Linked DNA regions of Arabidopsis thaliana. The protein of the gene in region 1 interacts with the protein of each later gene in a pairwise test. Each region holds a gene or a part of one and is shown in the gene's direction. Other genes may lie near its edges.

Region 1 (7,268 bases):
TCAAGAACAGTGAATTTGTTGAGAAGCTCAAAACCAGCTTTGTAAGTTTCTCCAACTTTTTGGGAACCTATTTCAAAAGTTTCTTCTATCTTACTGTAGAAGTGGCTTCTCTTTCAATAGCCACGACATTTTCGTATGCTGACTTGATAGTTACTGTTCTTGGAATGATTGATTGAGTTTCTTATGGTGTTTGGCAACTTTTCTAATGGTGCTTTTTTCTTTTGTTTTATTTGCAGAAATCAATTTACAAAGAAACTGATGAGGCTAAGGTTGGTATTTGGAAGTTGGAGCTCTATCAGTTTTTCTTGTTACTTTATATATTTTTAGGTCGAGTTCAGTGTTGGATTGGGAGTTTAACTTGGCCTCCTTTTACTTTGGTGCAGGATGTCCCTCCGTTGGATGTACCTGAACTGTTGGCATGTTTGGTTAGACAATCTGAACCTTTTCTTGATCAGATTGGTGTTAGAAAGGGTAAGATTGCATTTTTCTCTTCATGATGGTTAATTATTTTGTCTGTTGTATGTATTGAGTTGTTTCTCTACCATAGGTGGTTTTTCCGTCAAAAGTTTGAATCTTCTCTCTGATATTAGAGTGTCTTTGTTAAGTGGGTTGCTTGCTTCACCAGAAGTTTAGATGGTGAGATTTGATGTTCTGCATTATCACACTAATCCTGGATATCAAATATGTGTAAGTCTAGATTCTGTATGAGACAGATCAATCAAATGACATCTGCCGTAGACATAAAAATTTCTAGATGTGTAGGTTATTGGTTTTAAACACCCTTTCTTGTACATTATCTTATAGTTTCAGTGTTTACATACAAAGTTCCTGATTCTGTTCTGCTGAATTTTCTTTCAGATACATGTGACCGAATAGTAGAAAGCCTTTGCAAATGCAAGAGCCAACAACTTTGGCGTCTGCCATCTGCACAAGCATCCGATTTAATTGAAAATGATAACCATGGAGTTGATTTGGATATGAGGATAGCCAGTGTTCTTCAAAGCACAGGACACCATTATGATGGTGGGTTTTGGACTGATTTTGTGAAGCCTGAGACACCGGAAAACAAAAGGCATGTGGCAATTGTTACAACAGCTAGTCTTCCTTGGATGACCGGAACAGCTGTAAATCCGCTATTCAGAGCGGCGTATTTGGCAAAAGCTGCAAAACAGAGTGTTACTCTCGTGGTTCCTTGGCTCTGCGAATCTGATCAAGAACTAGTGTATCCAAACAATCTCACCTTCAGCTCACCTGAAGAACAAGAGAGTTATATACGTAAATGGTTGGAGGAAAGGATTGGTTTCAAGGCTGATTTTAAAATCTCCTTTTACCCAGGAAAGGTATGTTGATCATTTTGGATTCTATTTTTTTATTTCTATGGCTGCCAATATGTTTTTCAATTATTTCTATAGAGTAACTGAGCTTTCTGGTTTCTTATAGTTTTCAAAAGAAAGGCGCAGCATATTTCCTGCTGGTGACACTTCTCAATTTATATCGTCAAAAGATGCTGACATTGCTATACTTGAAGAACCTGAACATCTCAACTGGTATTATCACGGCAAGCGTTGGACTGATAAATTCAACCATGTTGTTGGAATTGTCCACACAAACTACTTAGAGTACATCAAGAGGGAGAAGAATGGAGCTCTTCAAGCATTTTTTGTGAACCATGTAAACAATTGGGTCACACGAGCGTATTGTGACAAGGTGAATCATCTACTCTATTTCTTCAAGCCTTGTTCTGTTGCTTGAATCCTCTTTACTAATAAATAGTACACGAGCTAATACATATTTTCTACTCATGAAAGGTTCTTCGCCTCTCTGCGGCAACACAAGATTTACCAAAGTCTGTTGTATGCAATGTCCATGGTGTCAATCCCAAGTTCCTTATGATTGGGGAGAAAATTGCTGAAGAGAGATCCCGTGGTGAACAAGCTTTCTCAAAAGGTGCATACTTCTTAGGAAAAATGGTGTGGGCTAAAGGATACAGAGAACTAATAGATCTGATGGCTAAACACAAAAGCGAACTTGGGAGCTTCAATCTAGATGTATATGGGAACGGTGAAGATGCAGTCGAGGTCCAACGTGCAGCAAAGAAACATGACTTGAATCTCAATTTCCTCAAAGGAAGGGACCACGCTGACGATGCTCTTCACAAGTAAGTTCTGAAAAATGTGCTTTGCTTTTAAAAACTTGTTAAGGTTTCGCTCTTTGATTGTCTTTCCCACATCTTGATGAAGGTACAAAGTGTTCATAAACCCCAGCATCAGCGATGTTCTATGCACAGCAACCGCAGAAGCACTAGCCATGGGGAAGTTTGTGGTGTGTGCAGATCACCCTTCAAACGAATTCTTTAGATCATTCCCGAACTGCTTAACTTACAAAACATCCGAAGACTTTGTGTCCAAAGTGCAAGAAGCAATGACGAAAGAGCCACTACCTCTCACTCCTGAACAAATGTACAATCTCTCTTGGGAAGCAGCAACACAGAGGTTCATGGAGTATTCAGATCTCGATAAGATCTTAAACAATGGAGAGGGAGGAAGGAAGATGCGAAAATCAAGATCGGTTCCGAGCTTTAACGAGGTGGTCGATGGAGGATTGGCATTCTCACACTATGTTCTAACAGGGAACGATTTCTTGAGACTATGCACTGGAGCAACACCAAGAACAAAAGACTATGATAATCAACATTGCAAGGATCTGAATCTCGTACCACCTCACGTTCACAAGCCAATCTTCGGCTGGTAGATATTTCCCCATAGGCCACCCAGTTATTGCTTGTGACTTATTAAACCACTACGTTATTGTTATCCTTTTTTACTTTTACAGTTGTTGTAGGTCGTTTGTTTGTTAATAGAAAGGGTAGATTATTATTAGATGTCTTTTTGTAAAATATCAATACGAAGCGTATTTGATGATATATAAAATAACTATATTGGCAAAAATATGAACTATGAAGGCCGTTTTCGTGATTTTGTTCTTTTGTTTCACGAATTCAAGCTATTCCCCTTTTTTTACGCCAAAGATGAAAAGAACCCTCCCTATTAATATCGCTATTGTCTAAAATTTCGAAAACTACTTTAATCACGACTAGACCAAATATATGTCGACCGATACCGATAGAGAAATTAGTGCCCCGTCTAATACTTTCTCTCCAAAATTACAGAATATTTAGAGTAGTTAATCAACGTAACACGACAAGGAAAATGATGGAAAAAGTGGTGGTTTCTGCTTTGGCAACTAGTGTTAGGTCACTTACGTCCTCTTTTTCTGTATTGGAAATTACGTGGATAAATTGAACTTTCTTTCAATCTCTATCAAATTATTAATCCACACATGTATACGCAATATATGATCATTAAATAAATAAAAAGTTAGATTGGTCTATAAATTCGTATCACAAATGGACTAATAATTTGTAGTGAAAACTCATTTACCCATGTGACAGCTCCAAATTTCTGAACTTTTTATTTTGAGGGATGGTACAAATCCGAGTTCCATGATCATGGAAAAATCAAATTTAACAAACACAAATTACTGTTTGAAACAAGCAAGTTACTATATATGTAGTTTGATTTCACACTAGAGAATCTACTGATAATGAATTTTTTATATATCGTGAAGCTGAAAGTGAAATTATAACTAGCTAGTTGAATTGCTTATTATGGTTGGAGGGGAGCCGATGAAAAATTCTTCGACCACACATAAAGTCACCTTTCTAAAGAACACTTGCACCGACCACATCAATCACGCATTCATAAATTTTCAACATTTATATAAATGTAGGAAAAAAACAAAATGAATTATAGAGAATACAAAATGACAGTTAACAATAAATATATCACAACATAAATTTTATGTAAGAAGGTTAGCATGATTTTTAAAAATATATTGTTGTGATTAAATGGAAAATAAAAATGTAGAATACTTGTTTCTTTAAAAGGGTCTTTGTTTTGATTACAATTTTTTTTTTTAAAGAATACCTTTAATATTAGGGAGAATTATTATAGTTTATAATATGAGAATACCTTTATTTCCCTATCACACTCCTATAAATCCTACATATAATTAGCCCATTATTTAGAGCCATCACTAAAACAAAAAATCTCTTAACAACTTCTCCACCTTCTCCCCACCACCACCACTCACCGTCGGAGAAAGAAAAAAAACAACCACCATGAAAGACTGTGAAAACCACGGCCACTCTCGCCGGAAACTAATAAGGCGAATATTTTGGTCAATAATCTTCGTCCTCTTCATCATCTTCCTAACAATCCTCCTCATTTGGGCAATTCTCCAACCATCAAAGCCACGCTTCATCCTCCAAGACGCCACCGTCTACGCCTTCAACGTCTCCGGCAATCCACCGAACCTCCTCACCTCCAACTTCCAAATCACTCTCTCTTCCCGGAACCCTAACAACAAAATCGGCATTTACTACGACCGGCTTGACGTCTACGCTACTTACCGGAGCCAACAAATCACTTTCCCAACATCAATCCCTCCCACGTATCAGGGACACAAAGATGTCGACATCTGGTCGCCGTTTGTTTACGGAACCTCCGTTCCCATCGCTCCTTTTAACGGCGTTAGTCTTGACACCGATAAAGATAACGGTGTCGTTTTGTTGATCATTCGTGCTGATGGTAGAGTGAGGTGGAAGGTTGGGACTTTTATCACCGGGAAGTATCATCTTCATGTGAAGTGTCCAGCATATATAAACTTCGGTAACAAAGCTAACGGAGTTATCGTCGGAGACAACGCCGTTAAGTATACGTTTACCACTAGTTGTAGTGTTAGTGTGTGAAACGGCGACGAAGAAAAATAAGGTAACTAAACGTCTTCGTTAAGTAATCTGTCTTAGTGATGTGAATTGTACATTTTGCTTATACGAATAGCAAATATTACAGATTCGTGATGTTGTAACGAATTTTAAGAATTTCAATATGTATACTTTTTTTTTATTATAGTTGAATTCTAAATTCTATTATAAGTTGTGATGATTTTTTCGAAGTATTTTTTTTGCTGATTTTGATGCATCTTCTGATCCTGTCAAATCGACTTTTGATGACTTTTTCTTATGTATATGGTAAAGTTTGATGGCGATGGAGATTAATTTTTAGTTGAATAGATTAGGCTCGTTAATGTTTTGTGGACGTTGTGTGATGGTGTCATTGTCCATTTGTCTCCATCTTTTTATTAAATTAAATAGAGAGATGCATTTTATATAGAGACTATTCTACAACAAATAAGACATTTCAAAAAGATAAATTTTGTGGATTGGATTATTTTTAGTCACATCTATGGATTTATAGATAAGTTCTATTTGTTGGTGTCTGGCTTAAAAAAATGTTTTTCGTGCACTTTAAAAGCCCATTCTCCTAGAGTTTTGCTACATTGAAATAAAGTTAATACATAACGTTACTTACAAGAATTTAGAATCCGTGGATATTATCGTGGATATTATCGTGGATATTCTTGGATTACCGTGAATATTCTTGGATCTTGAATTGTGAAAATCAGAATCCGGTCTAGAGACTTATTTCTCGTTTATCTGCATTTCCATTCATTTAACTTATAATGTGGTCCATGAAATTGACCAAAGAAATTAAAGGGGAATATGGTCCTTTAAAACTTATTATCTAAGTTGGGAATGAAAATAATATAAGAAACGTTAGACGAAAAAAGTCAGTCACCAATAAGACTTTGGATATCAGTCACATGATATATAGTAGTATATAAGCAACGTTCCATACTTCTATCTCAAATAAAGTTGAGAAACCTAACTTTGGATTTCCTTTGATTTTCAATAAAAATAAAGTGGTTATGAACGTGCTGTGTGTGCTGTTCACACAAAGGCACTAGAACGTCCGAGTAATGCTCAGCCAAACTCACATAATTTTCTGAAAAATGGCCTTTGCTACCTAACTTAAAAATAATTTACAACAACGGAAACTTTAGATAGTTGATCATTGATCAATAGTGCGTGCATCAGTGCATGCATATTTGGAATGAATCAATATTGATTACATATGCAGTGGATCTATCTCAAAATAATACTGATCAACTATTTGTAATATAATTCTTCATTCAAACAAATTAAGTGTTTTAAAAATGTTAATAATTATGATCTCTATCTTAGACATTTTGAGTTTATGTGTTCATGACTATATTTAGTGTAGTTCCATGAAACTAGGGTTTTAGTAGCGTCTTTATGTTCGTCTACTAACGGGCTACACTATTTTATGTTGGGCCGAATTTGGGATAAGCCTTCTACAATTTGGGATATCACTCATCACATTTTACATATTCCTACTTTCTTCCTTAGCATTGAGAAACAAACTTGAAAATAACGCCTACTTAAACCTAGTTTTATGGAGCTGCACACTAAATAAATTGTTTCTTTTTAGTAACAATAGTGGCTAGACGTTTAATTATTAAACCTTTACATTTGAAATGCTTCTCGATTGCTGAAAAAGCTCTGACCACATTCAAAACGTAACGGCACTTCTTTTTCAAAAAATTAAACCGTTGGTTAAGTATAACCGATCTTGGTTATCTATCAATAACAACAACAAAATAGCAAATAATGGTCACAATTAATTTTCCTTGACCAAATCCTTCATTCATTAACCAAATCAGACCAACAAAATCAAATATTCGCGTCGTTTTGAATTCGTTTCCTTAATTAAAAATAAAACGCGTTTCATTAAAAGCAGAATTTATCTCTTTCTCTATCTATATAATCTTCTTATTCTTCTTCACTGAGCCATTTTTATTCTTAGGCTAAACAAATTCGAATTCTGAAACCTCTGTTTTGAATTTCTCTCTGAGGCAATTCGTCGAACAACATGGGGTCCAAACAACCATACCTAAACGGCGCGTACTACGGACCATCAATTCCACCACCGCCTAAGGCTCACCGCAGCTATAACTCACCTGGATTCGGATGCTGTTGCTTCAGCTGCCTCGGAAGCTGTCTACGTTGCTGCGGTTGCTGCATCTTAAGCCTGATCTGCAACATCCTCATAGCTGTAGCCGTAATCCTCGGAGTCGCCGCTCTTATCCTCTGGCTCATCTTCCGTCCAAACGCCGTCAAATTCTACGTCGCCGACGCTAATCTGAACCGATTCAGCTTCGATCCAAACAACAACCTCCATTACAGTCTCGATCTCAATTTCACAATCCGTAACCCTAATCAACGAGTCGGAGTCTACTACGATGAGTTCTCGGTTAGTGGCTATTACGGAGATCAGAGATTCGGA
Region 2 (6,913 bases), on another chromosome or scaffold:
TTCAGGAGAGGCCGTAATATCTCCTCCTCCAAATTCTTCTATAAGCTCAGTTTTTAGTTGAGACCATGTTAAAGTCGGGTTCTCTTGTCGTAGACATTGTAACCAGAGTAGAGCATCACCTTCCATACTCCTGAATGCAGTGTCTACCTTGCAAACCTCTGGAGCGAGTTGCAAAGTAAAGTAAACTTCAATGATTTCTAGCCATATGAAGAGATGGTCTCCATCAAAACTTGGCATCTCAATGTCCTCCTCAAGGACAGTTGCAGATTCTTGTTTAGAATGCGACGATTTTGAAGCCGAAACCATCCTTGTAAACTCCAAAATAGCATCCTGGATCTCTTTCTGTCTCTTATGAAACCCAATAAATTCTTCATGCAAGGCCTTGTGGTACTTTTCTATCGCGATCAAACGTGACTCAATCCTACTGGTAGTCATTCCTCAAGTTCTTATTTGCAGGTAGTTAACAATCACGGTCACACAGAACCCCACGAAAAGCTCTCTTTATTGCAAGACTCAAAGAAACCCAAAACGTATAAAACTCAAAGCTCTCTCTAGCTTGTATGAGTCTCATAATCGAGACCCTATCTTTATTTATACTAAAACGTAAAAGCAAAGCACTCTACTAATAGGAAAAAAAAAAAAATGCCAAAATGGAAACTCTTTGAAGTTTGAGGAAAAAAAAAACTCTTAATAATTTCCTAAAAAGAAAAAGAAAATCTTAAAAAAGTAAGGAATACATATTGTTACTTGGTCAAGTCGGTGTACTTGATAGTTGGTAAAATACATGATCCACAATTTGGCTAAGCTTCAAAAATGTGCTTTTGGTGATGGTTTATTCAGGTTCATATCTGGTGATTCGCGTGAACCAAGGTCATGGTTTGGTCCTAACGGTCAGTACATTCGAGAGCTTCCTTGTCCAACTTGTAGGGGAAGAGGTTATACTTCATGTTCAAATTGCGGAATCGAGAGGTCGCGATTAGACTGCCCTCAATGCAAAGGAAAGGTACTTAAAAGTATTAAATTACTTTAAACTTTTGAGTAACAAAAGTCTTTCCTTGTTATAGAAACTTTGCTTAAATTTGTGTAGGGCATAATGACTTGTCTCAGATGTTTGGGGGATTGTGTCATATGGGAAGAATCAATCGATGAACGACCTTGGGAGAAAGCTAGATCCAGGTAGTGTTGTTATTCAAGAGTTGAAGTCTTAATTCTGTTTAATGTTTGACTAATAAACCTCATTTTTTTCTGCCACAGTTCTCCATTTAGAGTAAAGGAGGATGATGAGGTTGATAATTTAGAGATAAAGTTCAGTAAAAGGCGAAAATCGAAGCGGATTTATCAGTCACCAACTCCTGAAGTTGGACAAAAGATCAGCCGATCTCTAAAAGTTAGTTTCATTCATATACACTTCATGTTATTCTACTCTCTCCATGGGAAATTGTCATAGTCAGTCCAAATTATGGTTTTTATAGAGTCTCAATGCCAAAACTGGACTTTTTAGTAAGCGCATGAAGATTATACATCGTGATCCAGTGCTTCATGCTCAAAGAGTAGCTGCAATTAAGGTCTGTAATCTACTCCATTTTGTTTTATATCCTAAATTAACATGGAACAAGTTTTGTTGTTTTTTTCCCTTGAATCTGCTTAGTGTTGTTGTGTTCTAGAAAGCTAAAGGAACACCAGCTGCTAGAAAGCATGCATCCGAATCTATGAAAGCTTTCTTCAGTAACCCTGTAAACCGTGAACAGAGAAGCCTATCTATGAAAGGTAAGTCTCAGTTTCTTGGTAGAATTTCAGAGTTTAGGTCCATGTAGTACTCTTTTGTTTCTTGAGCTTTATCTGTTTACATTCTCCAATAATGTGAGATCACTGTGATGAATTAGGTTGAGGCTTGTCACTTAAAGTTGAGATATAATGTTGATTCGAAGTGTAGAAATGTAGGTTTCGATTTGATTTCCTTTTGTGGTGACAGTTCCATGTGCAAGCTATGAAATGGTAAAAGAACCATTTTTCTCTCATTGATTCAGGAACTAAGTTTTACTGCAAGAACTGTGGACAGGAAGGCCATAGACGCCATTACTGTCCAGAACTAGGCACTAATGCGGACAGAAAATTTAGATGTCGGGGTTGCGGCGGGAAAGGCCACAACCGTAGAACTTGTCCTAAGTCGAAATCAATAGTCACTAAAGGCATTTCCACTAGGTATCACAAATGTGGAATATGCGGTGAGAGAGGTCACAACAGCAGAACATGCCGGAAGCCGACCGGAGTGAATCCTAGTTGCAGTGGTGAAAATTCCGGGGAAGATGGTGTTGGTAAAATAACGTATGCTTGTGGGTTCTGCAAGAAAATGGGACATAATGTAAGAACCTGTCCAAGTAAACAAGTTTCAGACAGTGATTCTTGTTTAGAGCAAGAAGGTTCTTGAACCTGTTTATTTGGTTAGGCTTGGTTTTGCTATTGAAGCTGAAATAACCAATCACTGACAAGTCCTTTTTAGCGGATGGATATTTCGGGTTTATAATCGGACCAATCACTTGAGTCCCGATTGGTCTTTTTTGAACTATCTAAACTCAAACAAAAACTGAAGTGAGTTTGACCGCTTTTGGTTTCGGGTTATGACCGCATTCGTTTACGTGCAAGTATATATACTTGTTGGGTTGATTTTTCTTGAATACGACCTGAATTGGTACAACGGACCCATGCAAAGAAAGACAATCGAGCCTAGAAATTTCTGAACAATTATCGACTTATCCATATAAATGCTATAAACACCTAATATCTCATCCATATCCACATTTAACACTTTGTTTTTTCTAACATTAGTATGCTACTATTCTTCGATGCCTTAATATCGGATGGTTATTATTAGGTAGTTATATTTAGTCTGAACACTAAATTTTATAATCATTACCCAAAAAGTAATTAGTCACGTTTTTTACTTGATCTAAATTTACAAATGTACAATGTCTTTACGCGCTAAAAATAACAATTGTGGACAAAAAAAACTTAGCAGACAAAATTGACCACAAGTGATAATATCTAAATTTGGATTTGTTCAACGACACAACACGTAACGCGTCTTCCCGTATCTTGCGTATGACTCCTTGAGAGCCTCTCTTTAATTGTCCTATAAATATAAGTCTCTCTTGCAAGACTTTTGAAACCACAACAAACACAAAAATCAAAAGGGGTCATTTACTATCTTTTAAGAGACGACATATATAGTTCTCGACCAAGAAAAGAAAAGGGGGTGACCTGAGTTCTTCAACACATAACATAATGGCCGGAGTTTTCAAAACGGTTACGTTTCTTGTTTTGGTTTTCGCTGCCGTTGTTGTCTTCGCGGAGGACTACGATGTTGGTGATGATACGGAATGGACGAGACCTATGGACCCCGAGTTCTATACTACTTGGGCTACCGGTAAAACTTTCCGTGTAGGCGACGAGCTCGGTGAGTTTTATTGTTCTTATAGCTGAAATATGTCTTTGTTTTTCTTGTTCTTATAACAGTCATAGTTATGGGATCGTGCATGGATCATGTCGGTGTTGTTCTGTCTTTCTTTCTATATTCTTATGAACATATTTTAGCTAAAAAAGGGATTAATTGAGTTTCCACCGACTGATGTTGATATTCTTATTACAGAATTTGATTTCGCTGCTGGGAGGCATGATGTGGCAGTTGTATCAGAAGCTGCATTTGAAAACTGTGAGAAAGAGAAACCCATTAGCCACATGACCGTTCCTCCGGTCAAAATTATGCTAAACACCACTGGACCACAATACTTTATCTGCACCGTCGGTGACCATTGTCGTTTTGGTCAAAAACTTTCCATCACTGTAGTTGCTGCTGGTGCAACTGGAGGTGCTACTCCTGGTGCCGGTGCTACCCCAGCACCTGGATCAACCCCAAGTACTGGAGGAACCACTCCTCCCACTGCGGGTGGGACCACAACACCTTCAGGCTCTAGCGGAACCACTACTCCAGCTGGAAATGCCGCTTCCTCATTAGGTGGTGCTACTTTTCTGGTCGCTTTTGTTTCTGCTGTTGTTGCTCTCTTTTGAGTCACACTCGAAACCTAGTTATGTATTTGTTTTACCTTACTCTCCTTATTTAAATAGTCATGTATTTGATTATTTGTGAGAATAAGGACTTGTTTTCAAGTCATTATAAACGTCTTATACTTGTGATTAGTATTGAGTTTCAATATATGATTATTCGGTTGCAAAATAAAGAGTGGGTTTCAATATCATTGAGATTACTACTATATATTACCATATTTCATGAAAATTAGTCATCTTCTTCATCCAATTTGTCTAGTTTTCATGTATAATTAGACAAAATTTGCCTTCTCAATATTTTCAATCAACGAGTAAACATTACCTGATTGTGAACCGAAGTTAGAATAATATTAAAAAGACATAGGTTATCTACTAATTCAATATACCAACAATATGGTATTTTTGTTTCAGTGGATACGTTTCTCACCTGAATTCACAACTTTTTTTTTTTTTTTTTTTTTTTTTTGTGTGTGGAGATTTTTAATCTCTGGCTTTATAGTTTGATAATCGAGAAAATGCCAAAAAGTATGCCCGTACTAAGTACAAAACATAAGACCACAAAATTCCACAATAAATTGACACGTGTCTGATCGACGTGAATCAAGAAAACCATAAACTTGTTTTGTTTTCAACAACCAAAGACATTTTCCCCATAACAATGTAAGCATGATAAAGTCTAATGGTTATACCAAGGTCTTTGGTAATTACACTGCTCCTTTTTCTTTTTTTTTTTTCCTTTTTCTAAACCATCTGAATTTAACTTTATTTTATTTACTTCATTTGTCAATGTGATATCTTCAACTTTCAATAATTTAATATGTTTGATTTTTTAGTGTAGCTACGATATTCGATAAGACCTATATATGACATAGAGTTCTTGAAATAGCAAGTCTTGGTTTTGCCAAAGTAAGAACCTGTAAAAATAAAAGCAATTCTTTACAGAGATTTTTGGTTTTAAATCTACAAAGTTGCAAAACTCGTTGCTTTCATTTGATTTAATGGTTAGTTTTCGAGATAGACAAAATGGGAAATTTATTTGCAAAATGATTTAGTTGCAAAATCATTGGGACACTATCTTATTTCACGTTTTATATAATTGATGACATAATAAGATAGTTTCCCAAAGTAATTAATTGATGATATATGTGGTTGGATAAGAAATTATGGTATTATCATGTTTGCCTCTCAAATTTAAATTTAATTAATTATATACATACACGAGTAAGCTAAATAAAAGTTTGACCACATTTCATATGAAGAATTTTATCTTTCCAGATATCTAGAATTTGTTTTCTCTACACAGTTCATTGAAGAAAACATAGTACGGAAGAGACCAGAGGTTAATTAAACGACACTTTAACCTATCACGAGAGAGACTGAGATGATCAAATCAAATGAAAGAAAATAAACATCAATCACATGCAAAGAGTGTTCATTAAGCAAAATCACTAAGTTTGTTTTTACTTTATTTTATTACGTTACTTCAAGTTTTTTTTTTATCTTCTTGGTACTGTAAAAAAAGGAGAGAAAATAGAGTTGGCTATGTGTAATAAGCGAACCAAAAGCAAGCCTTCCATGACTGTGCCCTCAAGAAAGTAGCTTTGTTTTCAATCCCAAACTGTCAAAGTCTCTCTTCACCTCAAGATTAATCAAAACATTTCTCTCTCTATCTCATCAATGTTACTTTAAAACCAATGCTCCTCTTCTTGTTCTTCATATAAACCACATATCCTCTCCTCCATATCTTAACAATTTCATAGCAAACCCTAAAATTGAGAAAGAGATAGAGAGAGAAAGATGGGTAGAGGAAAGATCGAGATAAAGAGGATAGAGAACGCAAACAACAGAGTGGTGACGTTCTCAAAGAGGAGGAATGGATTGGTGAAGAAGGCTAAAGAGATCACAGTTCTTTGTGATGCAAAAGTTGCCCTCATAATCTTTGCAAGTAATGGTAAGATGATTGATTACTGTTGTCCTTCCATGGATCTTGGTGCTATGTTGGACCAATACCAGAAGTTATCTGGCAAGAAACTATGGGATGCTAAGCATGAGGTAATTTTGCTCTCTTTTTAATCTAAAGTTTCTTTGTCTCAAAAATATTCCATGGCCAAAATCATGTAATAAGTTTTCAATTTCTTTACCAAAAACATGTCAAAAGACCCTTGAATCTTTAACCCTAGATGCAGATCTACTATAGTGTTTTGTCTCAAAAACATATATTCTGAGCTAGATATCATGAAATTGGTTATTTAATTTTCTTTTCCTAAAATATGTCAAAGAGAAAGAAAAATACTCTAACCCTAGATGCAGATCTACAAAGGTTTCTTTGTGTATGTAGCCTAACATGCGTCTTTATTGATTTTCTTGTACTCAACAAGACATGGAGCCACAAAACATGGAAGTTATTCTTTTCTTTTGTTCCTGCTTAATTTGTATAATCTAGAGTATATCTAACCAACTGTGTTTTGAAACCATCAAGACCAAATCTTATGCGAATCAGATCCGTAGTTTATGGAGTTATTAATTGAGAGAAAAATCTGGGATGTGATATGTATCTGGGAATGAGAATTTCTGATTAGTACACTGATTTTACGTTTCTGGCTTTCAAAACTAATTGAAAACTTGAAAATTGCTTTTGAGTTTTGAGTATCCTTTTTAAATTAAATTTTGATGCAAATATTATATGTATTATTAATTAGCTCTGACAAATGTAGGTTTAGTTCTCACAAATGAGATATATCTCTATAGGGTAATAAGCATACAGAGGCTTTTATACCATTTAAGTCACTGCCTAGTAGTATTTGTGCATGTATATCTGTGTATGCTTTTACATATACTAATATCAATATAT
Region 3 (7,283 bases), on another chromosome or scaffold:
AAGCTTGTGCCCTCCTGAATGGACATCTGAGAATTTTAGTCAAAGTCCTTTCAACGGAAATTTCTCCTGCGGCTTTGAGGTGAGCTAGATACAGTTTCTGCGTCAAAATTGTCTTCTATAATCTTTTGATTGTTGGTTAGATGTTCCTAGACATTTGAACACCGTTGATTCTTTATTCCAGTTCAGCTATGAGTTTTGATCTTTTTCATTCTTGTCTTAGTTTTGATTTTGTTTCCTTATGTACAAGTTCACCTTTTCTATCTCAGGATGCTCTTAATAGCACAGAAACACATGGCCAGCAACTCCATTATGGATATGAAGGGTTTGATCCAAGCATAAACTCCGCTCCTGATTTCCATGACCAAAAACTCAGCAGCAACTTGGATATAACTTCTCAGTATGATTATATTTTCTCCGAAGTGCGTCAGGAACTAGATAACAGCCCTTCCACTAAGCTTGATTCTTCTGAAGAGATTGACAACTTTGCTGAATTTTCTACTCCATCAAGTGTCCGTGTGCCTCCATCTGCTTTTCTGGGACCTAAGTGTGCACTATGGGATTGCACAAGGCCTGCTCAGGGCTCCGAGTGGTACCTGGATTACTGCAGTAACTACCATGGGACTCTAGCTCTGAATGAAGATTCGCCTGGCACAGCACCTGTATTGAGGCCAGGGGGCATCAGTTTGAAAGATAATCTATTGATTGATGCTCTTCGTGCAAAGACTCAGGGTAAGAATGTTGGGATCCCAGTGTGTGAAGGAGCTGTTAACACAAAATGCCCATGGAACGCAGCAGGTGAGAGCATTGTCCCACTAGAGCCCAGTTTTGCTTCTCTCTTTGTTTTAGTTCAACATTTCGTTGCCTCTTTGAAAACAGAAGCCTTATGTGAGTTTCTTACTTTTGCCTGACCCTTAATTTTTTGTACTTGCAGAGCTATTTCATCTTGAACTGGTTGAAGGCGAAACAATTAGAGAGTGGCTCTTCTTTGACAAACCTAGAAGAGCATATGATAGCGGAAACCGAAAGCAAAGATCACTTCCAGATTACAGTGGAAGAGGTTGGCATGAATCAAGAAAACAACTGATGAAGGAACAAGAAGGCCAGAAGAGATCTTACTATATGGATCCACAACCTCCAGGTCCCTTTGAGTGGCATCTCTTTGAATACCAAATCAATGAATCTGACGCATGTGCGTTATATCGCCTAGAACTTAAAGTAGGAAATGGAAAGAAGAGTCCTAAGGGAAAGATTTCAAAAGACCCTCTGGCTGATCTGCAGAAGAAGATGGGACAGTTTAAAGTGGCTTCAGACAAACCCTCTCCTCCAACCAAAGGTCGTAAGGAGTGAAGTTAGCTATTGGTAATCTAACTCAAGACTCCTGCAACAATAGCTCCAAGTTGTCTCCAGCATTCTACAAAAGAGCCATCGCCACCTCTGTTTTCTTTTTTTTTTTCTTTCTGACTGTATTATGAAGAGATAGGATCTTTGATGTGTTGTGTTAATATGGACAAGTCTGGTCTTTGCCCTTTTTCTTGATAGAATCGTAGATGGGTTTGTAAATTTTTGCATTTTATTTTTCTCCTTTAAAACCACAAGGATTTTGTTAACGAAGTGGTGTATTCATATTTCAAAGGTACATTTGCAACACCATTGATTCTTTATTCCAATTCTTATCTACGTGTGTGTGTGAATGAAACTTGAAACCAATACAAGTCACTAATGCTCTCAGATTATGTAATTGGGCTTTACTGGGCCGTTTATAAAATTGGGCTAGAAAAAGGGAGACAGCAGACGACAAGAGCATCCTTGTTCTCTTTAAACCCTAAATTACAAGCAAATCACCAACAGAGAGAGTAATGGCGAAAAATTCTGGTAGCTCGTTTGAAGCAGAGAAATCAGAGGGAAAGTGTGTTACGACGACTACTGAAGCACAAGTAATTCAAAATTCTGGCTGATGAATTATGTATTTGATTTTACGTATTTGTAATTCACTAATTCTCACTGATTCATACAATTTGTGTCGTAAATGAACAGCAAAGTAGTCAACCTGTTTTGAGCAAGGAAGAGGAGAAAGTGAGAGATAGCTACTTGTTCTGCTGTGAAAATTTCTACACTCTTCCTGAGATGATCAATTTCATGAAGGAGATTCATGGTGTAGAACAAACCACTGTGACAAAGGTTTTCAGGGAACTTTTAAAAGGTAGAAAAGCTGAAGCATATCTCAGAGAATCTCAGAAAAGAATGAAGGCAAGAACAACAACAACAACTTGAACAGAGGAGGATGAGGCTTAGGTTGCTCTAATTTGAAATTCTTTGGTTTGGTTTACTGGTTAGTAAGAAATAGACTTGTATTGTCACATTTTTTTATCATATTTTGAGGTCCATTGCTTTGGGTGTATGGACCAGACTAGGACAAATGAATAGGAGATGCAAAAGGGTAATAATGGAGAAGTCAGTCTTGTTGGTCTATTCTTGTCCGAGTCCATGATTTTTAGAGGGAGAACTAGAAGGAGGAACTAAAAGTTGTTTAGGTTAATGGTTTAGGTGCTAAGTGTTGGCTCTGTGTGTTACTTATGACTCGTGGGATCTAATGTCTTGTGAAAAATCACTTGTGAGATAAAATGGACATAGTCTAGAGAAGAAGGTATATAAGAAGAAAAGCAGTCAACTTAACTACAAAATCACAACGGCTCACAACTGTTTTATGTTGTAGAAGTTGGTTGCTTCTTAGAGTGGTTCATTCTTCATTACCAGCTAACCGCAAATAACCGTGACTTGAAGTCTTTCGAATTACACTTCTTTCACTCGTGGTTCAAACTTCTTCTGTTCAAGTTGTTATGCCTTCTCCAGCCATTACTTGATTTCAAAATGGTGTTGATGGTCTCATTCTTGAAGGCTTGGATGTTTCTCAACTTTTTGCTCTTGAACAAGAGCCAAGAGGTGATGGGACTCCGTAGTACAAACACAATTTAAGAACGTTTGAGTAAGAGTTTTGATTCACATTGAAAAAAAAACTTAGAAGAAAAAATGAACCAAACTAAAATAATCAAATTAATTTAGTTTATTAATCAAGAATTAAATCAAGTTTTAATAATAACCTGAATTGTAGATTTTTTTTCTTTTCTTAATAGTCGAATACTGAACACTGTAGTATTAAATGAAAACTCAAAGCCCAATATAATTCAAAGCCCATCGAATCAAATATCTGGCCACTCCACTTATTCTTAACTTGAAACTTAAAAGCCGAAATCGTAAAGAGAGAATCTGGTCGGAATAATCCACTCGAATCTTAAAACGACGTCGGTTTAACCAAATGCGAGTCAACGGATGCTGCTGCAATGCGTCGTGTTGTGTTCGTCACTCGCCGTCGTCGTCATCTCCGTCGCTTCGACCTCTCCCCTCGTTGGTGTTCACCCTTTAGGTTACTTCTTCGATGACTCTTATCTTTATTATATCGACAAATCTGAAAAATGTTCTTGTTCTCTGATTCTTACTTACTTCTTTGTTGTGAGGCAGATGAAAAGTATTTCGACTCAGATGTTATCAAATGCAAAGATGGCTCCAAATCTTTCACAAGAGATCGTCTCAACGACAACTTCTGCGATTGTCTCGACGGCACCGATGAGCCTGGTACACACTTTTTTCTCAATTTAGAATCCAGAGAGCTGAGATGACATGAGACTTTAAATTCTTTCCAGATAAAAAGATTTAGGACTAGAATTGATCGAATCTTATTCTCTTTCACAATTTCAATTATGAAAAATGTGTTCTTGTGAGTAAGTTTCTGAATTTCTGATTTTGCATTACAGGAACTTCGGCATGTCCAAATGGCAAATTTTACTGTAGGAACATTGGAAGTTCTCCAAAGTTCGTTTACTCTTCTCGTGTGAATGATCGAATCTGTGGTCAGTAGTTACTAATGTTCTGAATTCGACTAAATGATTCTCGTTTCAGCTGTCTCTTGCTGTATGCTAGTAATCTACATGTTTTTGTTGGATTGGATAAGCAGCATGACATTGTCTGTTTCTCAGATTGCTGCGATGGAAGCGACGAGTACGAAAGTAGCATTCATTGTCCCAACACTTGTATAATGGGTGGTAACGTTAACTACATCTACAAACCTAGAGCCAACCTTAAATCTATACACTTGCAACTCGGTTCAACGCCTCATCCAAAGGAGTTTTATACTATAGGAAATCTTCAGGACATGGTCAAGAATCTACAAGGTTTTGCAACTTTTCTTGGGAAGCTTATTTGTTTTGTTTGATTGTCTAGCAAACTGATACAAAAACAATTGTTGTTGTTGTTGTTTCCAGGTATGAAGCTTGTTTTCGCTCTTCAGATGGTTTTTATCGGTTTCTTAGTGATCTTATGGATGCTTAGGAGTCGTGCTCGGTCTAAGAGACGACGCTATCTGCTGAAGAATGTACCTCCCATTAATAGATCAGCTAACTAACTCCCTGGAACTTGTATTATACTTTTGTGAAGCTTTTACGTGGAACCTGAGTGTTAAAGCCACATATGTCAAGTGTCATTACTAGCTATACTTATTCAGTGTGAGATTGTTTGTTCCTAGTTACATAATTGTCTTGGTCTTCATGTTTATTAAGCCTTCAGATCCTCAGACCATAGTAGGTACCGATGAGTCTTATCACAAGTAAGATAGTCACATGATCTGCAGATTTTCTAGAAAATGGATGGATTCACAATTTGAATGATCTCATGGTGAATTATTCGACTGATATAAGGTTTTATGAAAATGAACTCTTGTTTGTTTCTCACAGACAAAATCAATATACAAAAAACATTACAAGCCATTGAAGAGAAGAGAGAAATTTACAGTTAAAAAATCCTGAAAAAATGATTTGTAAACTCAAGATTGGAAACATCCACAAGTTGCCTTTGGAACAATTCTAATGGCCCAGTATTTTAGCAGCCGTTTCTTCTTGCTTCTCCACGCTTACCTTCAATCATTGCACTTCTTTCTTCTGCTTCCTTGTGAGTCACTGAAACCTAATTCATCCTCTCTGCATACTCCTGCTTTCTTCTTCTCTAGTTCCTCCTGCAGTGAAACAAATTCACAAACACTTCACTTCTCATTGTTCTCAATCACATTGAAACAGTATCAGCTCTCTATTGCTAAGTTTATTTTACCTCCATTTTCTTGAGTTGCACTTCGACAGCTGCTTTCTTCACTTCTCAACGGAAAACTAGTCACATAGTTTAGTTTAAGGTCACCTCTAACGAGTGAAGCAGACCAAGATTTCGCCAGTGCAGATTCTGTAAGAATTTTCATTCTACTAAAACATAAACAGCAATATGCCAAGCCTTAACACAAAGAGTGTCACAGGTAAACACATACAGAGCAAATGCATGATTCTGTCATAAAGCTTCAAATTTAGCTGTAATATATTACCTCCATGGATGTGTATTGAATCGTAAATAGGCCGCTTCTCTCTCGAAACAAGAACTAGCAATGGTAGCCTGATGTCAACGTATGTTGTATGAATCAAGTCCCCAGTGCAACTTGAAGGTAAAAGAACTTCTTCACACTGTTAGGTCGAAAGGTGAAACTTAAAGCTTATGTACTAGACAAGGCGATGGAACTTCTTCACACTGTTAAGGACAGACTTAGAGGTAAAAGAAAAACTTGAGTAGCTCATGGAGTTTAGCTAGAGGTTGGTCGCTAAGATATTTGTAAACTGAAGATGCTAATGGTTATATTAGGGATGATGATCTTGAAGGAATTATTTGGAAATGACATAACAGATGATGTGTGATTTCCTCCTTTAAAACAAAATCGTTTGGTTTTGATAATCATGAAAATATTTCTATGAGATTACTGTCCGACACACATTTAGAGAAATAATTCACTGACTATATATTCCGTAAATACATGTACATATAACTTTCTCAAGTTTGATTTATAATTTTAACATTTCAACAAAACAAAAAAATATAGATTCCGTTAAATATTCCTATCGATCCGGAAAAGTAAAAAATTGGACAGACAAAATATCCAAAATTATACGATTTAAGAGAGAAAAAAAAAGTAGCAAGTGTCCTACATGTGGGTGTGGTCTGGGACAAAGCAAATATAGAGGGGAAAAAAAGAGTACAGAAAACAAATCACATGGACTCACACATCAACATTATACTCTTCACTCTCTCTCCACTCGTCCACTACCCTACTTTCTCCATGCATTGTTTAGCCCTCCTCATAGCAGTGATGGTAACAAGATAATCCATTACCATGGTGAAAGATATGTGATAAATAAGCTAAGTCGTCGGATTTGTTTTCCAATAAATTAAGTCATGTTTATCAACTCGACTTAATTCTATTATTCTATATATAGATGATACTGTGTGCTATTAACTCATGTATTCATTGTACTTGCTTGACGTAGGTTTACATGTACCAAAATTATTAATTGACACATATGATTTGCAACAAATACGAGATATTGCATTTACATGAACCTATCGAAAAACCATTCATAAGAAAGAAACGTATTAACCATTCAACAAAAGAAAGGTCACAAGAACACGTGCTTGCTTGATTCCTCCTCCAAATCTCTTTACATAGATTAAAAAGAAAAAAACCAGTGGAGGAGAATTTCCAGTTATACCGTTGAGACCTTTAGCCTCACTTCTCAAGACAGCTGTTTCATAGCTGTCCGATCTCAATATCTCCCTCCATGTGGCCCTACTCAGAGAGATAAATTAAACACTTTGATCACATCGAATTTATTATGTTCTTTCATAAGATTTTACATAATATATATCTCATGTATATATATATATATCTCTATTTATCTCCTTCATTAATTCTGTTTTTTTACTTCCTTCTATTTATATAACTATCATTTGTTAAACATAGCCATTTTGGTTACTCTTGTTCCGTTTTCTTCTTTCTTCCTCTCCTTCCTTTTTTCTTTTCTCTATCTTCTTCATATGGTTCATGACATTGATCTAATTCCACTTCCCATTTGTCTCCACATTTCGTTTCTTTCCTTTGTTTTTTCATCTAGGTTTTTGGTTTTCTGAATTGGATTTACGTTAGTTTATCTTGTACTTATTAATTAAGGTTTTTTTTTTTTCCTTCCTCAATCCTGTAAATTCAGATTTGCTTTCTTTGGTAATCTTTTGGATCAAGATCCATCTATTTTTTCTTCAATGGCACAACTCCCTCCTAAAATCCCCAACATGACACAACATTGGCCTGATTTCTCTTCCCAAAAGCTCTCTCCTTTCTCTACCCCAACCGCAACCGCTGTCGCCAC
Region 4 (8,716 bases), on another chromosome or scaffold:
TCGTTGAGGTTGAGTATCTTCTACGTCGTCTCGATTGAATATTATTTGTATCCAAATCTGGCCCTGTTAAAGTGGGCCTTAAGTTTTTAAGTGGGCCTGTTGATATTTGTCAGGATATGATAGAATAATTGAATGAAGCAACACAGTCATCACTATTTTAAATTTTGTAAGATATTTTAAGGAAAAGAAAAAAGTCGCCAGTATTTCGCTATCGAAAATCGTTTATTTATATATTTGATGATTATCCATTAGAGAACCCTTCAAAAAACTCTCCACTCAACTCTCTCTGGTCAGCTGTCTCTTCCCCATTCTCTAGGGTTTTCAAGCTCAACCTCAAGCTCCACTACGATCTCTTCTTCTTCTCTAATCTCAGGTCTGAATCTCTCCTTCTTCACTATCTCTGATGCTTTTTACTGAATCTGATTGAGGAAACTTTCCATTTTAGGATTTGTTGATCAAATACACTCGGTTTAAGAATTAGGATCATTCTCTTTTCGATCTAGTTTCATTAGACTCGTTCTTTTAGCTCTTGATTTTATAGATCTCGTTTTGAGGAACTGATTATTTGGTTGTTGACAGTTGAAAGATGCAAGGTGTGATTCGATCCTTCGTCTCCGGTGGAAATGTTGTGAAAGGCTCTGTGCTGCAACATCTCCGTGTGATTAACCCGGCGATTCAGCCTTCTGTGTTTTGTTCACGCTCTGAATCAACTCAACCTGCACGTATGGAGGAATCTGGATTCGAGAGCACAACTATTTCCGATGTCATGAAATCCAAAGGCAAAAGTGCTGATGGATCTTGGCTTTGGTGTACTACTGATGACACTGTTTATGATGCTGTTAAATCCGTATGCTTATACTACTCTCTTTTTCCTTTTTTAGATATCTCGATGTGGATTTGGAATTGATTGTGTTTGATTTTGTTTAGATGACACAACACAATGTTGGTGCCTTGGTGGTTGTGAAACCTGGTGAGCAACAAGCTCTTGCTGGTATCATTACAGAGAGAGGTAAAATTAGATCTAATCATTAATAATTTTTTTGTTGTGTCTTGTGGTATGTGTGATTCACTTTTCGGCATTGTGATTTCTCTAGATTATCTACGGAAGATCATTGTGCAAGGGAGATCATCCAAATCAACAAAAGTTGGAGACATTATGACTGAAGAGGTATGTAAATGCACGATTGTACGATTTTTTTTTTGCTTTTGTGGATTGAAACTGACTGGATCTGTGAACTGGCAATTGCAGAATAAGCTTATCACTGTGACACCGGAGACCAAGGTCTTGCGTGCTATGCAACTGATGACAGGTAAGCAGACAACTTGATATTTTTCCACTAAAGATACAAGCTTTTGGGTTTAAAACCTACTGAAGCAAATAAAAATGCGGGTTTGTGTTTTTGTAATGTACAGATAACCGAATCAGGCATATTCCGGTAATCAAAGACAAGGGCATGATTGGAATGGTGTCCATAGGAGATGTTGTCCGTGCAGTGGTTCATGAGCATAGAGAGGAGCTTCAACGCCTAAATGCGTATATTCAGGGAGGTTACTAGATCTTGAATAATGGAAAGAAAAGAGTTCCCTGTTGTGTCGTCTGGTCTTGTGCTGCTGAATCTGAAAAGCTTCCAGATCAGTGTAAATATGCAGTCCTCGTTGTTATTGTTGTTGTTGTTGTGTTTGATGTTTTGTGTTGTTTCGTTGTTTAACTTGTCAAAACTAAGGCCTTGTGCTGCTTCTCTTCTTGCGCTTACTTAGCAAGAGAATAAAACCAAAAACTCTGATCTCTTTATGAAAGATATGATGTTTGTTTTTGTTATCAAATCTTGCGTCAAGTATCCATGTGTGTTATGAAATAATAGAATTACTTTGAAAATTTGATTTCGGTACAAAGTTTCCGTGTCTTTGGACCATGAAAAATATCTTAACAAGTAAACCAATTCTTTGAATACAAACAAGTAAACCAAGGCAAAATATAAAACGATAGATTTTCTTCAAATCAAATCGATTATGGTGTGGTCACAATATCGTCTCTCAAGGGATCAAACTCCGGTGACCAAGCTTGCACCATGAGATAGCGATCAAACGCCCTCCATGGACCTCCTGTCAACGCTGCCATGTATTCCTCCTCCGCTTCGAACCGAATCATGAAAAACTTACGAGGGAGATCCACAACAGACATTGCTCCTCGTGGTTTCCACATCTCTCGAAGCTTTCTACTTAATGCTGATATTGTCATGTTACGCCCGGGCACTTTCACGATCAAGCTGTTCTTCAACAAACCATTCATCGCCGCCAATACCTCACTGCCAATTGTTATCACTGGTTCTCCATCCTCACCATCAGGGAACTCCAGTGTCATTTGCTCAGACACAAACTCATCATCTAAGATATCATTCGGATTTAGGATACCACCTAAATGTCCCCCCACCACTTTCTTCACCCACGAACCCGGTGCATCAGGAGGGTCTCCCGGAGAATGACCTTTCTCTCCTAGGTCCGTCATGGTCACATCTTGCGTTTCAGATCTCAAGCCTCCGGCGGCGTCGCCCATTTTCTCTCTATCGATTATATTGAGACCACATTTTAACACAATCTTAAAAATGTATAGCAAATGCTTAAAAATCTTGATTGACTTTAATTAATCATGGTTTATCGGATTGGTTTATCCTAGGGTGGGCTTATCGAGTTAGGCCCATTGGTTATGTAGGCTTATAGCTCGTAGAAAGACTTCATGCGTAGTGACGTGGTGAATTATTAATGGTTGATAAGGATCAAACATAAACGAGCCAAACCGGAAAAATAAACCGGGAAGTATTAAATCACAATTAGAGGCGGGTCTTGGTCTCGAGTCTCGAAGCGTATAAGAGTCAAATACAACTGTAGCGTAGCTTCAGATCTGGTTATTTTCTTCCTTCGTGTGGAACAGCCATGGCTATGGAGTTTCTGAGGAGCAGTAGAAGAATATTGGAATCTTCTGGATGCGCGATCGCTTTGATTTTTCTGCTCTTCATCCATGGAGCTCACTCATTCTATCTCCCAGGTGTTGCTCCTCAGGATTTCGAGAAGGTAAAAACGTTTCGAATTTGTGCTTCTAGGCTTTTAGATCTGATTTGGATCTCCTGGATCTGCGTTTCGATTTCCGCTAGGATTAATCCGTTCTTGATTCCCGAGAAAGCTAGAGATAGTGAGAGTTGGAGTGCTGATGCACCGACTTTTGGTTTAGCTATTTTTCTAATAGAATTGGTGATTTCACTTCATTTCCGCTTCACTAATCTCTCGATCTGAACAATGTAGCGTCTTAGGCGAGCTATATCGATATTTATTCTTCTGGATTAGCCTTATTCGCTGTAATTTTGATTACCTTTGTTAGGTTCTTAGTGATCTCTCGCTCTTGATTCGCTTGCCATTACTACGAAATCCAAGTTATGGGTACAAGGGCAATGTCGGTCCTGCATGTTATATGACGAGTCTCAATCAAAGTAGACTTGCATGTTTCACTTCAAAATCATATTCAAATTTTGAGTCTTGTTTTCTTGTATGTTGCAGGGTGATGAGCTGAAGGTGAAAGTGAATAAATTAACTTCCATAAAGACTCAGCTTCCATACTCGTATTACTCCCTTCCTTTTTGTCGCCCTAGCAAGATTGTGGACAGTACTGAGAATCTTGGAGAAGTGCTTCGGGGTGACCGGATTGAGAATGCCCCATACTCGGTTAGTCTCGTATTCAATTTTTAATTTTGTAATTCATCAGGCTGTCAAAAATATTATGTCTGTGATTTAACTCTAACCCTTGCGGGGCTGAAACAATTGCAGTTTAAAATGCGGGAGGCACAAATGTGCAATATTCTCGGCCGGGTCACTCTTGATGCCAAGACAGCTAAAGCGTTTAAAGAAAAGATCGATGATGAGTACCGGGTCAACATGTAAGACCAAATACAGGCACTTTTCTTTGATTATTTGTATGAAGAACATGCTTTTCTCTGTCAGTTTTATTATAAGTGTTTCTGGTCTGTGTTAGGATCCTCGACAACCTTCCTCTGGTTGTTCCAATTGAAAGAGTCGACCAGGGTTCTCCCTCTGTTGTTTATCAGCTTGGTTATCATGTTGGTCTTAAAGGCCAGTACGAGGGGGTAAGTAGGTTTTAATTGTTAAGACACTAAATGGAATTCATGCTAGATCGTTCGATTTTCTAATTTTGTTTTTGCATACGCAGAGCAAAGAGCAGAAGTTCTTTATGCACAATCACTTGGCATTTACAGTCCGCTATCACAGAGATATCCAAACTGATGCTGCAAGAATCGTGGGATTTGAGGTTAAACCTTACAGGTGCAGTTCTTGTTCATAATTTGAATGTCTCTTGGGATCCCCTGTCATTCAGAACTGATATTCCCTCCGTTGATTTGTAGTGTGAAGCATGAGTATGAGGGAGAGTGGAGTGAGAAGACCCGTCTGACGACTTGTGATCCTCACACGAAACGCCTGGTCGTTAGCTCGGCTACCCCTCAAGAAGTTGAACAAAAGAAGGAGATTATCTTCACATATGACGTCGATTTCCAGGCAAGTTTTTTCTTAAGTAATCTGCGGTTTGTGTCTTAAAAAAATTTCATGAATTCTTGTTTTCAATAGTTTTTCTGATTTCCTCTTCTGTTTCTGTCCAGGAAAGTGAAGTGAAGTGGGCATCTAGATGGGATACTTATCTTCTGATGAGTGATAACCAAATCCACTGGTTCTCTATCGTCAATTCTCTGATGATCGTCCTATTCCTATCTGGTATGGTGGCAATGATAATGCTGAGGACCCTTTACCGTGACATTTCACGATACAACGAGCTCGAGACTCAAGAAGAAGCTCAAGAAGAGACAGGATGGAAGCTTGTCCATGGTGATGTTTTCAGACTTCCTACCAATTCTGATCTGCTCTGCGTCTATGTTGGAACAGGGGTCCAGTGTCTAGGCATGGTATTTGTCACAATGATCTTCGCCATGCTCGGATTTCTCTCCCCTTCCAATCGGGGTGGTCTGATGACTGCAATGCTCTTGCTCTGGGTCTTCATGGGACTCTTTGCTGGTTACGCCTCTTCACGTCTCTACAAAATGTTCAAAGGAACAGAGTGGAAGAGAATCGCTTTCAGAACAGCCTTCTTGTTTCCTGCAGTTGTGTCAGCAATCTTCTTTGTCCTAAACGCTCTCATCTGGGGACAGAAGTCATCTGGGGCTGTCCCCTTTGGAACAATGTTCGCCTTGATCTTCCTCTGGTTTGGCATCTCAGTTCCTCTCGTCTTTGTTGGGGGTTACATTGGGTTCAAGAAGCCAGCGGCTGATGACCCAGTGAAAACCAACAAAATCCCGAGGCAAATCCCAGAGCAAGCTTGGTACATGAACCCGGTTTTCTCAATCCTCATTGGAGGAATCTTACCGTTTGGTGCAGTCTTCATCGAGCTCTTCTTCATCCTCACATCCATCTGGCTCAACCAGTTCTACTACATCTTTGGGTTCCTCTTCCTCGTCTTTGTAATCCTCATTGTGACTTGCGCCGAGATAACCGTAGTACTCTGCTACTTCCAGCTTTGCAGTGAGGACTACCTTTGGTGGTGGAGATCATACCTCACATCAGGCTCATCAGCTCTCTACCTCTTCCTCTATGCCACGTTCTACTTCTTCACAAAGCTTCAGATCACCAAACTGGTCTCTGCGATGCTTTACTTTGGGTACATGCTCATCGCCTCCTACGCATTTTTTGTGCTCACAGGAACAATAGGGTTCTATGCTTGTCTCTGGTTCACAAGGCTCATCTATTCCTCTGTTAAGATCGATTAGAGGATATGATGATCATCATGGCGATTAAGGAAACAAAGAAGAAAAGGTGATCATAGTTTATCTTATTTTTCTTTTTAAAATCGGTTTTGTTGCATTTTAGGTTCTATTTTGTTGCATACCAAAAGAGATTTTAATATATGTAATAGAGTGTATTTTGTTTGATTTGTCAAATAACAACACTTTCTGAGAATTTTTGCAATATAACCAATTTTTATAAATAAACTCAAATGAGAACAACAATCAATCATGGTTTGGTGATATCAAACTCTAACTTTTCCTGCAATCATAAAAGCTTTGTAAACGACGGAACGAACCAGATCAGAACCTCCCCAAGCGGTTTCAAGCTCTCTCACCAAACTCTCCGGTAACAACTCGACGCCTTTCTCTCTCGCCGTGACGATGGCCGACCATGATTTAAACATCCTTATGATCCCTTCAAACGACGTCGTTTTAGGCATCTCCAGCTTTAATGGCTCCCCTTCTGATCCCATCCCAACATTTTCGAAAGGAAACGGCAATGCTTCGTACGAATCGAAGATGTGCTGAATGTACGGATACTTCCAAAACGGCAGCGTTGTGGCGTGGAGCCGATACTGGACGGCGTCGAACTCTGGACTCACTATGACGTCGTTGTATCCCCAGACAGCGATGATTCCGCCTGGTTTACGGAGGAGTCGTGTGGCCACTGAGTAGAACCTAGGGAGATCGAACCAGTGTACGCCTTGGGCGACCGTGATTAGATCCACTGAGTTTTCTCCTCCGATTAATTCCACTAGCTCGTCGTCGGTCATTGACGTCGGCGTATGGCGATAATTGATTTTCGGATGTGGCGTTGCTAGCTTCAGCTGCGATTCACTCACGTCCGTTGCTACGACACTCTCGTAATGCTCTGCAACCTGCAAAATGGAGGCGAAATTTGTCAAATCCAAGATCTGATGCATGTTGTTGTGATCATTTACGAGCAAGAAGCTAAATCTGTTAAATCTAAGTTTGAAGCTCTATAAAAATTTATGAGCATCAAATACTGACGGCGAGAGCTGCTTGGCCATTTCCGGTGGCAGCATCCCAGGCTAAACCGTGGTGATCGGTGAGATCAGCGAGCTTCGAGAACCACTCAGAGGGGTAATTAGGTCTGGCGTCAAGGTATAGATCGGCTTGTTTATCAAACAATCCTGCCATTTTCTCTCTGTTTTGCTTCTTCTTTTCTTTCTCTCTTTTTTCTGATTAGTGTCTAGCCATGACTCTCTAGTCATATATAGTAGTCTTTTTAGCTTGTGGGAATCTCAAAGATAATGACCTCCAACGAAGCAGCATATCGCTTTCCTTCTCTATTTTTTAATTGGATTTTGAAGTAATTGTTTAGGTGTTTGTTGATGTTGATTAGGATTTTTGAGTTTCGGTGGGAAGATGAAACATTTGACTTTCTCTTTTTGCTTTCAAGATCTGTCAATCATACTATCGAGTTTGTGAATTTTGGCTAATAAAGCGATTTGGTTTCGTTTTTGTAGAATTTCAGACTGGTAGTTGAAGAAAGACGTCATTGCTTACAAAGTCAACAAGGTAAATGTCATTGTCAAGTGGGAAACTTTATAATATATCTTTTGTTTTTCCTCGTGTGTGAATGTCTAAACCTTTTTGAAAGTCTAAAAGGCATTTCCTTTACATTGAAAATAACGATTAAAGGCTCTTGCTCTCGATATTTTGATTTCAGATCCAATGTTCATCTCCTAAACAGTCAACACCATGGAAACACTAGAAACTGAGAAATTCTTCTCAGACGATAAACCTCTCCTAAAACCAATTTCAGATCATTCTGAGATCAAGACAAAAGCAAGAAGAAACGCTGTCGTCTCAGTTCTAATTCAGCCCTTCCAATGGTTACAAATGCTGAGTTCTAGGCTAAACCTGAGCTTCGTGCTAGGTGTGGTCCTTGTGTACGGTGTAAACCAAGGGTTCTCTGGTTCGATATTCAAAGTCGTCACAGACTATTACTGGAAAGATGTCCAGCAAGTGCAGCCATCGGTTGTGCAGCTTTACATGGGGTTATATTACATTCCATGGGTCATGAGACCCATTTGGGGTCTCTTCACCGATGTGTTCCCTATCAAAGGTTACAAAAGAAAGCCGTATTTTGTAGTTTCTGGTGTTCTTGGTTTGGTATCTGCGATTGCTATTGTTGTTCTTGGTAAGTTGCCCGCTGCTTTGGCTTTGAGCTGCCTCTTAGGTGTCTCTGCAGCTATGGCCATTGCAGATGTGGTGATTGATGCGTGTATAGCAACAAACAGCATCAATATCCGATCTTTGGCTCCTGATATACAGAGCCTTTGTATGGTTTGTTCATCTGCTGGCGCTTTGGTTGGATACGCAACTAGTGGAGTCTTCGTTCACCAGCTTGGACCTCAGGTTGAGCCTTTACACCTTTTTAGTCACGTTTTCAGGACGTGTTCCCTTTAGATATCGAGATTAGAAACTTGAAATCTCGTTTTTCTGTTTTGTTTTTTCTGATATAGGGAGCATTAGGGGTATTAGCATTTTCGCCTGCAACTATCGTCATACTTGGGTTTTTCATCTACGAGAAAAGATCTTCTACTGTTCCTACACAAAAGACCAAAAAGGTGAGGCCTTAGCCTGTAATCTCAACTCCTTTGATCTCTCTCACAAGTGACCAGAATTGGCGTCGCAGCAGAATAATCCAAACAGAAATTTTCCTTGTCTTTATTTGTTTCTGCCGGATTATTGAAAATTCATGCCTCTTGACTTTATCTCATGACTTGGAATCTTGATCGAACTCTTGAGCAATCGTTTGAATTTTCTTCAGGACACAGATGGCTTAGGAGTAGCGGTGAAGGGAATGTGCAAAACAGTAAAGTACCCTGAAGTGTGGAAGCCATCTCTTT

The links.
Region 2: the proteins of NHL1 (region 1) and BCB interact in a protein complementation assay, tested with the Arabidopsis thaliana proteins (one large-scale study listed by BioGRID).
Region 3: the proteins of NHL1 (region 1) and AT2G42390 interact in a protein complementation assay, tested with the Arabidopsis thaliana proteins (one large-scale study listed by BioGRID).
Region 4: the proteins of NHL1 (region 1) and EMP1 interact in a protein complementation assay, tested with the Arabidopsis thaliana proteins (one large-scale study listed by BioGRID).

Annotation. Positions count from the first base shown.
Region 1 is NC_003074.8:3,676,573-3,683,840, reverse strand, and holds NHL1 (NDR1/HIN1-like 1), read left to right. Parts: upstream 1-3,897; 5' UTR 3,898-4,180; coding exon 4,181-4,810; 3' UTR 4,811-5,246; downstream 5,247-7,268. Other genes in the region: DGD1 (UDP-Glycosyltransferase superfamily protein), read left to right, coding at 1-41, 237-269, 384-471, 859-1,340, 1,441-1,707, 1,809-2,158, 2,241-2,751; NHL2 (NDR1/HIN1-like 2), read left to right, coding at 6,855-7,268. UniProt on the Arabidopsis thaliana protein: May play a role in plant immunity.
Region 2 is NC_003076.8:6,823,344-6,830,256, forward strand, and holds BCB (blue-copper-binding protein), read left to right. Parts: upstream 1-3,021; 5' UTR 3,022-3,282; coding exon 3,283-3,454; intron 3,455-3,646; coding exon 3,647-4,065; 3' UTR 4,066-4,405; downstream 4,406-6,913. Other genes in the region: AT5G20220 (zinc knuckle (CCHC-type) family protein), read left to right, coding at 841-1,003, 1,088-1,176, 1,255-1,387, 1,473-1,565, 1,665-1,767, 2,028-2,428; PI (K-box region and MADS-box transcription factor family protein), read left to right, coding at 5,860-6,114. UniProt on the Arabidopsis thaliana protein: Probably acts as an electron carrier.
Region 3 is NC_003071.7:17,648,554-17,655,836, reverse strand, and holds AT2G42390 (kinase C substrate, heavy chain-like protein), read left to right. Parts: upstream 1-3,193; 5' UTR 3,194-3,327; coding exon 3,328-3,421; intron 3,422-3,516; coding exon 3,517-3,630; intron 3,631-3,809; coding exon 3,810-3,905; intron 3,906-4,031; coding exon 4,032-4,226; intron 4,227-4,316; coding exon 4,317-4,456; 3' UTR 4,457-4,731; downstream 4,732-7,283. Other genes in the region: VOZ2 (vascular plant one zinc finger protein 2), read left to right, coding at 1-79, 267-795, 932-1,347; AT2G42395 (uncharacterized protein), read left to right, coding at 1,857-1,934, 2,035-2,271; BZIP34 (Basic-leucine zipper (bZIP) transcription factor family protein), read left to right, coding at 7,177-7,283.
Region 4 is NC_003076.8:3,422,013-3,430,728, reverse strand, and holds EMP1 (Endomembrane protein 70 protein family), read left to right. Parts: upstream 1-2,831; 5' UTR 2,832-2,931; coding exon 2,932-3,069; intron 3,070-3,549; coding exon 3,550-3,714; intron 3,715-3,816; coding exon 3,817-3,926; intron 3,927-4,021; coding exon 4,022-4,133; intron 4,134-4,216; coding exon 4,217-4,329; intron 4,330-4,409; coding exon 4,410-4,560; intron 4,561-4,661; coding exon 4,662-5,819; 3' UTR 5,820-6,041; downstream 6,042-8,716. Other genes in the region: CM2 (chorismate mutase 2), read left to right, coding at 1-38; CBSX3 (Cystathionine beta-synthase (CBS) family protein), read left to right, coding at 587-847, 928-1,009, 1,095-1,168, 1,250-1,310, 1,414-1,556; AT5G10830 (S-adenosyl-L-methionine-dependent methyltransferases superfamily protein), read right to left, coding at 6,080-6,715, 6,849-6,998; AT5G10820 (Major facilitator superfamily protein), read left to right, coding at 7,563-8,222, 8,330-8,434, 8,638-8,716.